2 linked regions of the Notamacropus eugenii genome follow. The main gene of each other region encodes a partner of the protein of the gene in region 2 in a complex. Links are inferred from orthologs where the notes say so. Each region holds a gene or a part of one and is shown on either strand. Other genes may lie near its edges.

Region 1 (3,750 bases), on a different chromosome or scaffold from region 2:
GTGGTAACACATTTTCCCAACATAAGTGTGTTAACAAATGGTTGCATTTAAAGATGCTGTGAGCAGGCATGGCTCAAATATTAGAGACTGAAGTGACAATCCTAAGAATTTCAATCCAAGAGCTACAGCTCACCTATACCACTGTGAATCTATGATAACTAGCTGAGACTAGGCGGCACAGTGGCCACAGCACTGGAGTTGAGCAGACCTGAATTCAAAGCTCAGACACCAGATGTGACCTGTCTATCTCAGTTTTTTCAACTTTAAAATCGGGATAATAATAGCATCTGCTTCACAAGGTTGTTGTGAAAATTAGATAATATTTGCGAAGTGCAAAGTGCTCAAGCGTAGGTGCTTTAAAAAAATTTGTCCTGACTTCCCCAGTTTCCCTATCAGTAAATTGAGGGAACAATGCTCATTCAGTTACCTCCTTCATACCAATAAAACATGGAAATATGAAAGTATTCCATAAATGTACACTTACTCTAAAATAAGTAATATGCTCTCACAAATTTTTAAATTTTAACCTTGATGTTACAGCAACATCCGAAGGCCTGGGTTCTGAATTGAAGTTACTAATTCACTTTTTTAATATGGGCCTCAGTTTTCCAAATAAAGTTTGATTAACCTTTCCCATCTCTTCCAATTATAAAAAAAACTTAGCAACTTCAACTGTGAACTAGACTCTACATTGAAGGTATTCTGGAATAGTGGCAAAAATACTTAACTTGGGAGTCAGAAAACACAGATTATAGTTCTGGTTCCACTATTATCACAGTTATGTAACCCTCAGTAAAAATCAGTAAGTAGCCAAAACATCTTATAAGCTTCAGTTTCTTCATCTGGAGAAAATGGGGATAGTTATCTGCTCTGCATAGGGATCAATGGGTTGAATGTAAAACTAAACTGACGAAAATACTCTGCAAAAAGTACATGACACTAGTTTCATCACCCTCTCCTCAAAGTATTACATATAACATTCAATAAATATGTTGAAAAAAATGAAAGAACAGATCTCTCTCACTACTTGAAATGGGACCAGAGTAAACCATTCTCTCAAGAGCTAAAAGAAAAATTAGAGAACTAGCTTGATATTCTTTCAAGAAACTAAAGCCCCAGAGAAATTAAGTGGCTTGCTCAATGACAAGTAGCCAAGCCCAGGCTAAAACTGAAGTCTTTTAAAACCAAATTCAAACACTGTTTCCTAGAGCAGTCACTTAAAGGCATAGTAACAGAAAACACAATCAAAAGAACATTTTTTTCTAAAAACTTCATATGTTGCCAATAAAAACTTCAGGACTCAGAAAATGCTTAATTTGTCACTAAGAAAAAAAACTGAGTGGCTGGAAGTTTATGACAGGAGGAAAAGAGATTAAAGGGGGTGGGGTTCATATGATTTTCATTTATCCCCTATAGTAGCTAGATAATTTAAACACTTCTTTTATTCAGTTTAAGAGCAAGATGTAATACCCAGGACTCCCAACAACTCCGAACTACAATGCATTATTTAAAATATTTGCTATTCGGGGAGAAAACCCATATTAACCCCTTGCAACTAATACTACCCCAAAGTTTAACAGATTTTTATAAGACCAAGTACTAAAGAGTGTCAAAAAATTCAAGACCCTGTTACACCCACTTTTTTCTCCCCCCAAACTATTTATACCAAACGGGCCTCACCTAAAAAACGAGCGGGCAGAGGAGGAGGCGTGGGATTCCGAACAAGTTTCTGGATGTAAACACGCCAACACTTCTTTAAAGCTACTTTGTTTCCTGTTCCCGCGGATTAAAGCTCATTCTAGCTCTAGGTTTGCGAAAACTGGGGCGGGCGGGGGAGGAGTCCATTATCGCTCCCCAAAAACTCATTTTTTTGTTAGGATAAATTTAAATTTAGGATTCCTAAGGAAATAAACAAACCCAAACCTTTGCTTTTTTTGGCGTAGTTCCTTTTTAAGCCCAGTCGACCCAGAATTCGGCCGAACGTGGCGGGAGCTCCGGGCCCCGCGCCCGCACCCCGGCTCGCTGTCCCTTCTCCCGCTTCCCACCGCAGACACCGAGCAGGGTAAAATGGCCTAGGGCGGGAGCATCCGCGTCCCCGCATCAAAGGAGGCGAAGCAGTTAACGGAGTCGGCGGCCCCGCAGGCCCCGGCTCCTCCACCGCCGCGGGGAGCGGCCTGCGGACCGGGCGAGGCCGGGGTAGGGCGAGGGGGGCGTCGGGAGGGACGGGGTCACTTCGGGGCCCGAGGCGGGCGAGGTCTGTTCCGGCGGCGGCCCCGCGTCCCGCACTTACCTCTTCACGCCGAGGCAGCCCCTGCCGCCGCCGGCTTGTCACATAGACCGGCCCGGGCGCCGACCCCCTCACGTACAGACAGACGGTCGGAGCGGCGGGCGGCCGGGCTCGGGCGACCCCACCACCCCAAGCCGCCTGGGTGCCCTCGGCCCCAGCGACGGCTCCTCCTCCTCCTCCCGCCGCAGAGAATGACTCTCCCCTTTATTTGCGGGTCTCGCTGCTACAAAATGGCGCTGGAAGAGGAAATGAGGCTCCGTCACCCCCCCCACCCCCTTCCCTTCCCCGTCTTCCCGCTCCTCCCGTCGGACGGCTCCGCCCCCAGCCCACGCAGCCCCGCCCCAGCTCCGAGCCGAGCCCGCCCCTTCCCTCCTCCCGTCTCGTCTGGTCGGGGCCTGGCTCACTCACCTGGAGGACGAGGCTTCCGATAGGTCGCCTTTGCGTCCAGCCGGAGTCCGCGGCGGGTACCCGCGGGTGGGCCCCCCGCCCCCGCCACGCCGCTCCCGGCCTGGGGGCAGGGGAAGGAGACGGCGAGCGGCAGCAGCAGCCTCAGCAGGGGCTAGCTCGGGCGGCGGCGGTGGAGGCGGCTTTGCTCCCGCCCCCCCCCGCCCCGCAGAGCCCAAGCTGAGGCGCCTGGAGAGGCCGGCCAGCCGACCTAGTGACGGGTGGGGAGGGGGGGTGGCAGACGTGTGGGGATGGGGTCACGGAGGGAGGCGGGCGGAGTGGGAGGGAGGGGAGAAGGTTGGAGTTCAGCCGCGGAGCATCCTGGGAAAGGCGATGGGGGGCGGGGTGGGTTTCGCCTACTCCCGCGGGCGGAAGGAACGTTCCCGGGGTCCCCTGCTGCTGCTGGTGCTGGAGGGCGCCCGCCGGCGGAGGGATCCTCGGGGGTTGGCTGCCTTCTCGGAAGCCGGCGGGGTTTGCTCGCGCGCCGGCGTTCTGCTGGCTGGTCCTTGGTGTGGCCGGTGTCGTGGCCCGTGACGTTGTGAGGAGCTGCTCCTCGGGCTGCCCGGCAGCCTGAAGACCGCGCCTCCCGGGGGAAGGCGGACCGGCCTTTGTTCTTGTGCGGGCTTGGCTGCAGCTCCTACCGCCGGGAAAGAAACGCCAACGAGGGGCTGCGCTTGACGGCTGGTGCGGAGCCCCGGGCTTTGGGGCGTGATTGTATTCTCATTCCACATTCACTGGAATAAAGTTCATTACGAAGGAGCCAACCAAGTTGGACTCAGCGAAATCGCAATTGTTTTTTGTTGTTGTGCCTTTTTCTTTCCACGATAGAACCGTAAAAGAGCTTTAAATAAGACTGCACGTTAGAGTTTTCTGTACTATGGGCTGGTCAAATCATTGCCGTAGTAGGTGTCCGCCCGAAAACTCAGCTGACCTTAAAGAAGCTAGTCTTTAAGTATTCATTAGGATACAATTAAAGGTAAGACGTGCTTTGTCGAAGGAGACGGACGAAGTTCCTCTTG
Region 2 (3,750 bases):
TCTCTTCTGGCCATTCTGAGTCTGAGATGCCCACAGAGATGCCCAACAGACACTTGGTAATGTAGGGTTTAGTTTAAGAGAAAGGTTCGGGCTGGATAAATAGACCTATATGAAAAGATGCAGAATGAAGACAGCCAAAGCAAAAGAAGAACTTAAACAACGACTGCAACAACGTTATGGGAATGGGAACAAATAGGAAACAAAACTCAAGACAAGACACAGTGGATAATGTTGTAACTCTCTTATTAAATTTAAATCTATTCAATAAACTCCAGTGACTCCTTATTACCTTCAGGATCAAATATAAAATCCTCTGTTTGGCTTTTAAAACCCTCCATAACCTAACCCCTCCCTACCTTTTCAGTCTTACATTTTACTCCCCTCCACAGACCATGCAATTCAGTGACACTGCCCTCCTTGGCATTCCTCAACAAGACACTCCATCTCCGACTCTATATTTTCTTTTTCCTTCAAATTTAAAGTTGCATTGATGTGTTCTGTCTTCAAATTACCTACATTTACAGATTATTCCCACTATGTGAGAAATCTCTTGGAAAAAGTGGAATAAAACTAAAAATGTGTTAAGTGGCCTTATTTGAAAGTTCAGGCACTATTTCACATCTGTAGCATTCTGCTGACTTTCTATTTAAAAAAAAAAATCCATTTGTTCTCCCTCTCCCATATCCATCCCATGGACAGAGAGCATATGCATAGCTATTTTTACATCATGCCTGGAATTCTCTCCATTTACATCTCTGGCTTCCGGCTTCCTTCAAGTCCCAGCTAAAGTCCCATCTTCTATGAGAAACGTTTCCAATCCCCTTTAATGCCAGTGCTTTCCTCTGATCTCCAGTTTATCCAGTACACAGCTTGTTCATACAATCATTTACATGTTATCTCCCTCAAGAGAACCTGAGCTTGGGGGCAGAGGACTTTTCCTCTTCTTTGTATCCCCAGCCCTTAGCAAGGTGCCTGGCACGTAATAAGTTCTTCAAAAATACTTGCTAACTGACAAAAACATTGATTCTTCCTTTCTTTTAATAAACAGCAAACTATTAGTGTGAAGTTTTATGGACGATTACAGTAAAATGATTGAGAGGATTGCATTTGGAGCCAGGGGACCTCAGTTTGGATACTAGGTCTGCTCCCTACTAGCTGTACGTGATCTTGGGCGAGGCAGTTCCCATCTCTTGTCCTCAGTCTCTGTGCCTCTGAGTTCTTTCCAACTCTAAATCTATGAGTCCACAGTCAAACGTCACATTTTATACTGTTTTCAGTATACAAAGGATCAAACGTTACAAAGGAATAAACTGTGAGTGTGGATTTGTATGATATAATGAAACAAAATTTATCAACAAAAAAATTAAAAATGTTAAAAAAATGGACAAACAGATAGCTTTGGTGCTACATTAGTATCCAGGCTGCACTAAAAGCCTTAGAGGAAGGCCTTCTGCAGGGGACTTACGGGAGGGCAAGGGCAAAAATATCACCAGAGAATAATAGCTAGCATTTGTACAGCACTTTAAGGATTGCAGAATCCTCTCCGTTTACATACCCCCAGGTATACGGGGACTCCGGCTACGTCACGCTGCCTTTCCTGGGGGTGTTCTCTACATTTTTAAGATGAAGAAACTGAGGCAATGGGGAAGTCAAATGACTTGCCTGGGGCCCCCAGGTAGCAAGCGTCTGGCAGGATGTTAGCACCTGAGCTCGTGTGGCCCTGGTTCTGTTCTGGTGCTCCAGCGCTTCGCCAGGCGGGTCTATATATGTAGATATATGTATGTGTGCGTGTGTATATGTATGTGTGTATACGTATATGTATACATATATACACACACATACACATACACACATATGTACATATACATATATGCACACACACACACAGCGGGCCGTTCCGGGTCCCCCGCCCCCGCCCCCGCGGGCCACCTGCTCACGTGACGCGCCCGGCCCGGCCCCGAGGCTGCCCCCCGGCTCGGGCCCTCCCGCGCCCGCTCCTCACCGAGGTGGCCTGAGTCCTGCTTCCGCCGCCGCTGCAGCCGCTCCCGCAGCGAGTCCAGCTGCTTCTTGTGGGCCTGGATGGAGCTCCACGTGTCGGACATCTTCGGGACCGGGGCGGCGAAGCTGCGGCCGCCCCTGCGCCTCCTCCCCGGCCAGGGCCGCCCGCAGCGGGAGGGCGGCGGGGAAACTTCACATGGACACCGGGGCCAAACAGGAAGAGCCCGGAGGCCGCGGGCGGCGCCATTTCCGCTTCCGCCCTCACTCGAAGCCCGAGCGGGAACGCTAGGAATCATGGGTCTAAGGCTCCATTTTCCTTTTTGGCGGCGTAAAATGCCGCGGCACCGGCGGGTACTGGCAACGTGAAGCCGAAGCGACCATGCTGGGAGTTGGCAGGAGGGCGGCCATGTTGATACAGCCGCATGGGCGGCCATGTTGGACGTTAGCGGAAGAGGGGCCATGTTAGTCACCTCGTTAGGAAGGCGGTCCGGAGGGTGAAAGGGTCCGAGGCCGGAGCGGGGACCCTGAGTTAGCACTAACGTCACCATAGCCTGGGAGGTGCGCACAGCACCGTCCGTTTGGGAGCTCTGATCCTCCCCGTGAATCCGTGCCATGTTTAAGTGGGTCAGCGGGTCAGCGGGTCAGCAGGTCAGGGGGCATGTGCCAGGGACTGCAGACAAAGCCCGAAGCAGCCCCCGCCCCCTGGGGAGACAGTGCGCGTGTATATTCTGTGTAGTGTGTGTCTTATTTGTGTGTTTATCCGCACGTTTATACACGTGTGTTTTATTTATGTGTGTTTATCCGCACGTTTATACACGTGTGTTTTATTTACATGTGTTTATCTGCACGTTTATACACGTGTGTTTTATTTACGTGTGTTTATCTGCACGTTTATACACGTGTGTTTTATTTACATGTGTTTATCTGCACGTTTATACACGTGTGTTTTATTTGTGTGTTTATCCGCACGTTTATACACGTGTGTTTTATTTACATGTGTTTATCTGCACGTTTATACACGTGTGTTTTATTTGTGTGTTTATCTGCACGTTTATACACGTGTGTTTTATTTACGTGTGTTTATCCGCACATTTATACACGTGTGTTTTATTTACGTGTGTTTATCCGCACGTTTATACATGTGTGTTTTATTTACATGTGTTTATCCGCACGTTTATACACGTGTGTTTTATTTACGTGTGTTTATCCGCACGTTTATACACGCGTGTTTTATTTGTGTGTTTATCTGCACGTTTATACACGTGTGTTTTATTTACGTGTGTTTATCCGCACATTTATACACGTGTGTTTTATTTACGTGTGTTTATCTGCACGTTTATACACGTGTGTTTTATTTACATGTGTTTATCCGCACGTTTATACACGTGTGTTTTATTTACATGTGTTTATCCGCACGTTTATACACGTGTGTTTTATTTACATGTGTTTATCCGCACGTTTATACACGTGTGTTTTATTTACGTGTGTTTATCCGCACGTTTATACACGTGTGTTTTATTTGTGTGTTTATCTGCACGTTTATACACGTGTGTTTTATTTACGTGTGTTTATCCGCACATTTATACACGTGTGTTTTATTTACGTGTGTTTATCTGCACGTTTATACACGTGTGTTTTATTTACATGTGTTTATCCGCACGTTTATACACGTGTGTTTTATTTACATGTGTTTATCCGCACGTTTATACACGTGTGTTTTATTTACATGTGTTTATCCGCACGTTTATACAC

Evidence for each region. The genes of interacting proteins can lie anywhere in the genome.
Region 1: METTL3 (region 2) and WTAP share a complex: the UniProt entries of both Homo sapiens proteins name them as parts of the WMM complex. The link is inferred for Notamacropus eugenii from reciprocal best matches to the Homo sapiens genes METTL3 and WTAP.

Annotation. Positions count from the first base shown.
Region 1 is NC_092873.1:253,466,433-253,470,182, reverse strand, and holds the start of WTAP (pre-mRNA-splicing regulator WTAP), read right to left. Parts: upstream 2,826-3,750; 5' UTR 2,696-2,825; intron 2,524-2,695; exon of another isoform or gene 2,291-2,523; intron 1,900-2,290; exon of another isoform or gene 1,681-1,899; intron 1-1,680. UniProt on the Homo sapiens protein: Associated component of the WMM complex, a complex that mediates N6-methyladenosine (m6A) methylation of RNAs, a modification that plays a role in the efficiency of mRNA splicing and RNA processing.
Region 2 is NC_092878.1:12,408,893-12,412,642, reverse strand, and holds the start of METTL3 (N(6)-adenosine-methyltransferase catalytic subunit METTL3), read right to left. Parts: upstream 2,257-3,750; 5' UTR 2,103-2,256; coding exon 2,003-2,102; intron 1-2,002. UniProt on the Homo sapiens protein: The METTL3-METTL14 heterodimer forms a N6-methyltransferase complex that methylates adenosine residues at the N(6) position of some RNAs and regulates various processes such as the circadian clock, differentiation of embryonic and hematopoietic stem cells, cortical neurogenesis, response to DNA damage, differentiation of T-cells and primary miRNA processing.